2 linked regions of the Drosophila melanogaster genome follow. The protein of the gene in region 2 purifies or fractionates together with the protein of the main gene of each other region. This does not show direct contact. Each region holds a gene or a part of one and is shown on either strand. Other genes may lie near its edges.

What was found.
Region 1: the proteins of Cisd2 (region 2) and Rab32 purify together in Drosophila melanogaster (affinity purification with western blotting; one study listed by BioGRID). This does not show direct contact.

The regions. Positions count from the first base shown.
Region 1 is NT_033778.4:9,177,079-9,183,231, forward strand, and holds Rab32 (Rab32), read right to left. Parts: upstream 4,221-6,153; 5' UTR 4,081-4,220; coding exon 2,671-4,080; intron 2,269-2,670; exon of another isoform or gene 2,148-2,268; coding exon 1,752-2,147; intron 1,672-1,751; coding exon 1,528-1,671; intron 1,467-1,527; coding exon 1,356-1,466; 3' UTR 786-1,355; downstream 1-785.
Region 2 is NT_033777.3:29,221,463-29,225,085, forward strand, and holds Cisd2 (CDGSH iron sulfur domain 2), read right to left. Parts: upstream 1,967-3,623; 5' UTR 1,878-1,966; coding exon 1,781-1,877; intron 1,308-1,780; coding exon 1,084-1,307; intron 1,020-1,083; coding exon 939-1,019; 3' UTR 755-938; downstream 1-754. Other genes in the region: eEF1gamma (eukaryotic translation elongation factor 1 gamma), read left to right, coding at 1-314; Brd8 (bromodomain containing 8), read left to right, coding at 2,108-3,623.

The sequences.
Region 1 (6,153 bases), on a different chromosome or scaffold from region 2:
GGCCCCCAGAGCGCGGACCGTTGGATACGGCTCCGCCGAGCTGCAGCCCTGGCGGTGGCTTACCTTAAACATCTAACACATTTTGCCCAATTGTTATATTGTCTTCTATTCCTAATATCTCTCGTTTGCGGAATTTTTGCAATAAACAATTTAGCAGTAACACGGCTACACAACACTAATAAATAGAGGTGCAAGTATCGATGGCAATAGTCTTGCAGCGATTCGATAGTTTGTAAGGTTCTATCGATAGTGGTCCCGTTCAGCAGCAATTGGTAAACGCATATTCACGGTATTCTCGGAGTATTTAAGTTTCAAGCTTAATTCACTTTTGAGTCAGGATGTTTGTTTGTGCCATAAAACATTTTATAAAACCAAATTGCAATTAAACCTGATTCCAGCTTTTTCCCAATTTTTCCCATACCAATTACCAGTTTATACGTTTCGCTTTTCATAACGATTAAATAATTGCTAATAATTTTATGTAGAATATGAACGCACGACACTTTTATCTGTATATCATTATTTTTAAGTTTAATATGTGATCACTAAACAATAAGGAATACCATAGTTGATAACTATCGATAGTTTGAATATTAAAAAAAAAGAAAAACATTGCCGGTTGGGGATACGATTTTTTACCGTTAAAAAAGGAAATGTAAAAACAAAGCTTTTATTCGTATTTATTTACAAAGACCAGTGATTCAATGAAGGCAAATACTAGTAGCATAACATTTTCATTGTATCACAAAAGCACTTACACAGAATTTATTCAGCCAATAAAACACGTCGTCTGAACTTAACTACCATTAAAAACTTTATTTCTGATTTCGCATTGCATTAAGCGTACGTATTGTTATCTAAATACAAATAATGATGGCAGAGTGTGTTTGCATACGAGAATAATAATTCCAAGATAAAACAATCTCGCCAGCAGAGGCAAATAAAACAAACAAAACAATAAGACGATTCGCATTTTACACAAATGTAGTATGCTATGATACGGATGCTGCACTACCTCCGGCTAATCCTCGCAACTAGGGCAATGATGGTGATAGTAATAATGTTTCGTATGCGTAGGTATGTTATGTGTCACCATATAAATTCTCAAAGTGACACGGATCCCGATGCCGGCGCAACATTGTGGACCCACAGACGGGGTGTTAAAGATAAAGACGGACGGGATGATACGGATGACACTAAGTCTTAGACAAATGTTACGTTAAAACCCTAAGCATAGTTATCGCTATCTTCTAACAACATGAACATGGAGTGGACGTAGGCACATGGCGTTTCTGTGTTGAAACTCGCTCTTAAACTGGGAATGGGAATAGGAGTCGCCGGACCTCGGTCCCAGGTCAGCAGGAACACTTGTTCTTGGCATCCGATCCGGTTGCATCGGCCGCGCTCAAGTTGAACTTGTCGCCATCGGCCAGATCGGCAGATATCAGCTTATCGTTGATGAGTATCTGTCGGGCGAGTGGAAGAAGATTAGCGGGGCTTTGGCTGGGCATTAGCAGCGATTATCACCTTATTCACGAGGGCACGAGCTGCCTCATCGATGTTGATATTCTCCTTGGCGGATGTCTCAAACCAACCGGCAAATCCGTTCTCCCTCACATACTCATCCATCTTCTCGGGCTGCGTTATGATGCCCTGCTTTTCCTGGTCGCACTGGAAAACGGATGAGCAACGTATTAATCACATAATATAGAAATTATGCGGTCTCCTTTAACCTTTAGGCAATCACTTACTTTATTGGCCAGCAGGATGCACGGAATGGGACTGCCGTCCGGCAGCTGCACCTTGGAGTCTAGATCTTCCTTCCACTTGCTCACGCAATCGAAAGTCCCACTGCGAGTCACATCAAAAACGATGAACGCGCCCACCGCCTCCTTGTAGTAGACACGGGTCATGTTGCCAAACCTCTCCTGACCGGCGATATCCCACAGCTGGAGGCGCACTATCGTATTGGCGTCCCACTGCAGCACTTTCAGGGCGAAGTCCACGCCGATGGTGGCCCTGTAGTTCTGGCTGAAGAACTGGTGCACATAGCGCTTAATGAAGGACGTCTTGCCGGTGCCCAGTTCACCAATGACTAGAATCTTGTACAGATGCTCGCGCTTATCGCTGGTGGATGTCATGATGGCCTGCAAGCAAGGATTGGATGAGAGTTACTTGTATGTTCGATCCATGCTTAATAGAATAGTTTGATAAATTTGATACACTAAACAATGAAATCCCACTTGTGACTTGAAATCTCAAGATAAAGAGATACATACTTTTGGGCTCTGGGTTTCAAGATACAAATATAAATAATCCGTGCATTTCGAATTATAATAAGTAGTAAAGTTTGTTCTATCATAGCACGTTTACACTCAGTTATATAAAAGCATATCAATATATAATATAGGAAGTGAGAATTCACCACTTTAATAAATTCTAAGCCTGGTATTAGTTACACCTTCTGCTGCTCGTCAATCCGCACTGAGATTTGCTGGTTAGTTGACGAGACCCCCTGGGCTATTACCACCGCCCGCCGCCCGCACAGTTGAATGACACTCTGGAACACACACTATAAGGGGGCCAACATATCACTTGTGGGGCTTCTTCGCTTCTTCGTAGGTAAATGACAACTGGCGAATTGGCAATCCGACGACGACGAGACCTTACCGGTTCCATTTCCTGATCCATGGTCAGGTCACCGAAGGCCGGCATGGGCTTGGCGTTCTCTGGCTCTGTGGTATCCGCCTGCTCCTCGCTATCGTCCTCGGATCCGGAGTCCTGGTTGGAGTATTCACTAGCCACCGACTGATAGTGCAGTGTTTCCCGCCTGCCCTCGATGCTGTCGTGGTCGCCGAGGATGAGCTGCTGCTGAGCGAAGCTGAGACGCCGGATGCTGGAGTCGCTGAGCTCTTCGTTGGAGTTGGGCTGTTGACTGGCGGCGGCGGCCAATGCGGCTTCGTAGGCACTCAAGGGACTCCTGACTGCACTGCCCACTTCAAAGCGGACAACGGGCGGGGGATTAGCAATAGTCTGGGCGCTTTCCGCCGAGGAGACTCCGTCCTCAGCCGCCGGAGGGGATGTGGATGGGTCCAGGGATTGCTGCCCTGATGGCTGGGGTTCCGTGTTCGCTAGTTCAGCCAGTGGTCTGGCGTTGAGGCGGTGGCCGCGCTGCTGCTGCTGCTGCATCAATTCCAGCTTCCTGCTGGATGCGCTCGAGGATTGGGACTTGCGAACAGCTCCGGTGCCGCTGGCTGACTGAACGCGACTTGGTTTTGCTGGCGCCCGTTCTCTGGGCGGCGTATCGCGCGTGCTCTCGGTGGTGGTGATAAGCGGCGACGGCGACGCCGATGGGGACTCTCTCTCGGGGCTCTGGGGCTTCTTCTTCGACACCAGCAGCTTGGTGGTGCGGGTGCTGCTGCTCGTATCTCTCGTGGTCACGGTGGTGGTAGTGGTTTTCTTTCTCGGTTTCCTTTCTTCTGCGGCGGGTGTCAGATAATCCGTGTCGCTCTTGGGTCTGCTCTTGCCGCTCTTCTTGGCGGGCGATGGCTCCACCTTCTTGCCACTGATGGTGATCTGCAGCGTGCTGCTGCCGGCGGAGGTGGGCGAACCGGGTGGCGATGGCAGGGGTGTTGTTTCCAGGTGCTCCACGCTGATGTCGTCGCTGGTCGCCAAGCTGTGGGGCCGCCCCTTCGGCGTTTTCCCACTTTTTCTCAGGCCTCCAAGAAGCAGGCGGCGCGTCAGGCTCTTTTTCTTGGTCTTGCCGAGGGCTCCACTGTCCGTGGAGATGGAGCTGGCCACGTCTTCGAGCTCGCCTGGGGTTTCCTGAGCCTCTTCCTCCGCGCTGCGTGTTTCCCTGTCGGTGCTTTTATCCAGCTCCCTTTCCCTTTTGGTTTTGGTCTTCGAGAGGCTTCGCAGAGCCGCAGTGAATCGGGAACGGCCCTTGATCTTCGCGGTGGCCTCCTCAGACTCGTCTTTCGGATCCCCGTCCCCCTCCTGGCGGTCACCCTTTTCCTCCGATTGCTCCGATTCCGCTCTCTTTGTAGCTGCTTTTCCCCGCTGCTCGTCCACGTTGGGCATATTTTCAACTGACGCTGTTGATCCCTAGCGATTCTACACAGATTCCATTTGCTCCAGCTTGATTTCCAGTCCTGATCCTGCACGATCCTCGAGCTTTTTTTTTTTAAGCAACCGTTGCCCAGACTAAACGAACGCGCACTAAAATCCCCAGTGCCGACGACTAGGCTTTTATAAATTTTGTATTCGCCCCGTTGGTCCCGCCCCCGCACCATCCCCTTTTGTGGTGAGAGGTTTAGCATTACAGTTACGAAAATCGCTATAGCTGGCCAGGTGCTTACCAACACTGGTTGCCGCCTCCAAATCGCTTGCGAAATGAGCGTGAGAAGAGCCGGTGGGCCTTTGAATGGGCCGATTGGACGGCTGGCACCCGCTTATCAAGCAATCCCCGGACAAAGATTGGCCAGTGTCCGGTGGCCCGCCATAATCGACGCCAGTTGTCCGGCTGGTTAGCCCTGCTCCGGAATCACTGGGCTCTATAATTTGGATCGAGGTAATGCATAATGCCATGATGCCGTGATGCTACGATGACGAGCACCCAATCATCCGGCACAACCAGTGGAGCAGGGCGCCCAGTGTCCATATCTGGACCTGACCTCTCCAAGCAACCCAGAACGTGCTCCGCCGCACTTGGCGGGCTTCCTTTAAGCTGAGGATTTGCCGCATCAACTTGTCCCAAAAGAGTCGCTCGGCATTAAGTGGGCGACACATCAATCTGGCGGATTGGCCGCTGTCTTGGCCGACTGTCGACTTACTGCTCGACGTGACTATATAGAATTACGCTTATTACAAAACGTGGTTAGCCGCAGTGCATCGAGCAGAGCGACAGGGAAGGAGATATGTGGCCCATATACGATTACCCAAGTAATAACCCGAAACGCAAACGGGATGGCACACATATGTATGTATGTATGTATGGATAGATCGTATCTTACAGATGTACGGAAGTTGCTTCAGATCTGACTTAATTAGATATTACAGTTCCTTATACAGGCACTTTGCTGCGGTTGCGATATCATTGAGCAGTGGGGTAGTTATCAATACTTTTAAAAATGTATAGTATTATTACCAAACACCCTTTTGAACTTATAGTTTGACTATAAATTAAATTAAAGAATAATTTATTGGTAAAAACAATATTTGCCTATATTTGATTAGCTTTATGCTTATCACTAGGGTTAGTAACCATTTCAGATTCCTTTAAAACAACCCATTTGCAATATTGCTAGATTACTACTTATCCATCCTGTTTTCTGAAAGCCGTTTTCTTTTGGAGCACTACATCATTGAAAGTGATTGTTCTTTGATGACTTATATTTTCCTATAAACTAATAGCTATTGGTTATTTAGACCAGGCATTAATCAATGCGATTGCACAGTAAAGTAAAGCGTTCTAAATGTAATTCACCATAAAGAGCGCTGTCTGTAGCCTAACCGATTTGCACATTCTGAAATCGGGGACAAGTCAACAGTCGAATCAGCTTACATAATTCATGGGAGATTACAGCAAACACATTTTCTCAAGCCTTAAAAATTCCAGTTACGGAGCAGAGGGCTTTTAAACCATAATGTGCCTTGGAAACCGAAAGCATTAGAAATTCACTTTCGCATAAATGTCGAACGTGGAAGAGTTCCTTTGTGCCCGCAGATGTTTACACGCAATCCAGCCGGAAAACAGAAAACAGAAGAGCTATGCGAAGCATTCGGCCTCCATCTGAAAGTCAGGCGCCTGCAAGTGCCCCCTGACGACCCCATTCCGAACAAAAGCCACACGGATGCCCCGATGTGGCGAAGTCCTGCACGGACTTCTTTTCCGTAAATCGGATACCGAATGGCAGTGGCTAGGAGCCCCCCACCCGCATCGGCCAGCAATCACGTGCAAGTGAGCTCAACAAGAGGAAGTGAGCACGTGAATGAGTTCCTGGAATGGAAACTACTGGGATTGCATGTATCACGGCAGGCGTAAAATCAAGCGAATCTAAAGACACCTGTCTTTTTAGATAGCTTGGGAAAGTACTATTATGGCTAAGCCCATTTTCAGTCGTTTAATCCGAAGGTTTCTAACTGAACCCCAAA
Region 2 (3,623 bases):
CCAAGGTGTTCATGTCGTGCAATCTCATCACCGGCATGTTCCAGCGTCTGGACAAGATGCGCAAGGCGGCCTTCGCCTCCGTTTGCCTGTTCGGCGAGGACGGCAACAGCACCATCTCCGGTATCTGGGTGTGGCGCGGACAGGATCTGGCCTTCACGCTCTCCCCCGACTGGCAGATCGACTACGAGGTCTACGACTGGAAGAAGCTCGACGCCAAGAGCGAGGAGACCAAGAAGCTGGTCACCCAGTACTTCTCCTGGTCCGGCACCGACAAGGACGGTCGCAAGTTCAACCAGGGCAAGATCTTCAAGTAATCATCTCTGCCTAGCCCAGCTCCGCTCAAAGCAGCAGCCGCCCTCATTTAGACCAACAACAACAACAGCAGCAGTAACAATAAAGTTTGAGATTTAAAATGCAGGAAGAGCACAATGCCCATTTCTTAAGTTCCAACTGATAAGTACACTAAAGATATCCAATATCTGTCGTGCTGCCTCCCACGTTTGGCGGAATCGTGTGTCTCGCCTCCTGCATTTTGTACTGGAGAATTTGTTTGTAACCGCCTAAGCATAACACAGCATGATATTGTCAACGGAACAGCCGCCTGCAGTCAGAAAATATTTATAAAAAATAAAAGGTTTTCTATTAATAACAGCACGGTTTTCTCTCACACGTGTGTGTATGTGTGTGTGTGGTTTATTTGGTTGTTGGTAAAGGTTAGGTCTGGCATTTATTAGTAATTAGAATTAAGCATATCGATTTGAATTTATGTTTGGGCAATTTTATTGGCTCCTTTTAACTTAATCCATCAATATCATCAATTATTGCTTACAATTACAAGGGTTCAAACAGCTTCGGCCACTACTATTGGTTTTAAAAGCAAACTGGAGCTCAGCGAGAGGAAATGCTAGAACGTTTGTGTATCGATGCACCGCCGCAATCTACTTCTTGATGACAATTGGTCCGACGTTGTCTCCAGTCTGCTTGTTGTGCTCGCCATGACTGCCATCGCAGTAGGGCCACTGCGAATAGAGGATTCAATTGAAAATTTTGTTCACAATATTTCAGAGGTTAGAATGCACTCACGTTCTTGGTCTTCCAGCAGCGACAGAAGGCCGCCTTCTCCGCAATATCCTCCACGTCGATCATGTCCACCACCTTGGGCTCGTTCTTGCGGATGTGGTTGTTGCAGCGTCCGCTGTTTTTGGCCGCGCAGCTGGCCCGTGCCGCCGGACAGTAGGCCAGGTAGGCGGTGTAGCCGAGTCCGGCCACCACCACGGTGGGTGGGATCAGGGCCAACCAATCCTTGACTGCAAACGAAACCAGGTTAATACGGAATGCAGTGCATTTTAAGCTTTATAACTAGATATTTTGGTCGATCAGCCGTAACCGGCACAAGGTCGTTCCCTACACACATATTGGGTTATAAACGCACCAAGATATGCGCATATATGTTTATAGGTATACCCATGTTGGTATGCCTGTATTATGCGTCTATCTAGTTGCCTATCTGCGAGACAAACTTGCTCCAATTATAAATTTCTTGGCGAGCTCAGCAGTTGTTGCATAATCGCTGCAACTTTTTTGCCTGGAAGTGCACACACTGCACTTCCAATTCCCGTTAGCAGCTCCGCAATATCACGCCACATTTGCACCTTAGTAGTCCATTTAGTTGGCCCCCCTAGATGCTGCGTCATTATCGTGGATTTGGGTTTATGTGGGGCGCCCTTTGAAGGCAAATCAAATTCCAATGGGCAAAACCACGCTCATTGCCCAAACTTACAGGAGAGCTTAAACCAGCCGCCGATGCTGTCGGGAACCGGCAGACTTGACAAGTAATTGGGCAGCGAGGACTTCACCAGATGTGATATGGGCTCCATTTCGAAACGCCTTTTTTATTTAACTGGCTATTAAATTCGGAAAACTTGTTTTTGTGTTGCTATCGGTTAGCGGTGCTAGCAAATCGATAAGCCAGTCCTATCGGTATCGCAGTGCTAGGGTCACACTGCATTTTCGACGATAGGCAGTATTACAGATTCGTGTGTAGTCATCGATAGCATTCTGTTTTGTTTACGAATTATTGATTGAAATCAATAAATTGCAGTTTAGAATGTCTGCCGGGGTACAAGAGCGCCTGCAACTGAGCCGCATGCCGCTGGACACGTGGTCGAAGCGGGAGCAGCTCATCCTGGCGTCGGCGGTCTCCTGCAGCGGCGACCAGAACTGGATCACGGTGAGCCGCACGCTGAAGACGATCTGCGGCAATGGCAGCAGTAACCGACCGGCGGACTGGTTCTCGCAGAAGAACTGTGCCATGCAGTACGGCAATCTGCTGGAGAGCGTGGAGGCCACCAAGCGCAAGAAGCGCAGCAGCGAAAGCAGTGCCGGCGTCTCCTCGCCGGCCACCGTGGAGACGCCCACAGAATTGCTGCTCCGTCGGCTCACGGAGGAGCGTCAGGCGGAGATCAAGGCGCAGATGCGTCAGGATCAGGAGACTTACCGACGCATCCAGCGGGAGATTGAGTCGCTGCAATCGGACGCGGTGACCGAGCAGGAGCTGCAGGACATGTGGCTGGAGATCGAGAAGGAGCAGGAGGCGCGCCGCATCGAGGAGATGAAGCTGGAGAATCGCATGCGGGAGCGCGAGCAGCGCAAGAAGGACCTGGCCAGCAACTGGCGAAACAGCAGTCTAGCCGTCAAGCGTTCCAACCAAGCTGCCGACACGACTTCCGTCGATATGGACGTGGAGGACATAAACACCAGTGGCAATGGCAAACAGCAGACGGGTCCTTCGCCTCTACTCACATCTCTCCTGAAATCGCCCACAGGCAATGCACCTGCAACGCCCACCCCAGGAGGAGCTGCACCAGCAGCCGGAGGAACTGGCAGCGTGGCCAGGGCTACGGCGCCAACCATCACCTCGCTGCTGACCAGCGGTCCAAGCTCAGCTGTTGCCAATCAGCCAGTCATCACCATGAAGAGCCCCACAGATGCGGCGTTTATGTCCCGACCTATTACCGGACCTCCGGCCAGTGAGGCTTCTACTACGCCCACACTCGAACGGAGTCCCTCGCAGGCGGCACCCACACTCTCCATGCTGCTAGAGAAGAACATGGCTGCGGCGAAGGCCAACGAAAGCGGAAGCTTGGTAAAGCCAGAGGGGTCAGGAAACCAGGAGCAGGGTGTAGACGAAGCCACTTCTTCTGCAGCTGGCACAGCAGACTCCGACGAGGCGGATCCCAACGAAGCGCAGCTGCTGGAAGTCTTCAAAAACATTGATCAAATAATAGATGACATCGACATTGATATGGCCAGTGTCATTGACGATGAGATTCTGAAAAATGTGGATGACGTCGTAGCCTCGCCATCAAACGATAAAGCCGAAGTTATTGACTTTGAGGACAAGCTGGACGCTTTGAAGCGGGAGCAAAGTAAAAGTTCCCCAGCCAGTGATAAACCAAAATCTGTGGAGCTAGTAATTGGATCCAGCGATGACTCCAACGACAATATACCCCTGGCTGCCGTGGCCTCCCAGGAGAGTAAGGATCGTGGTCAGTCCGGTGGTGAATCTACTAGGGGCACCGAGGACGCAGAGTCCGAGCCGTTGACCAGCGAGGTGGCGGTGG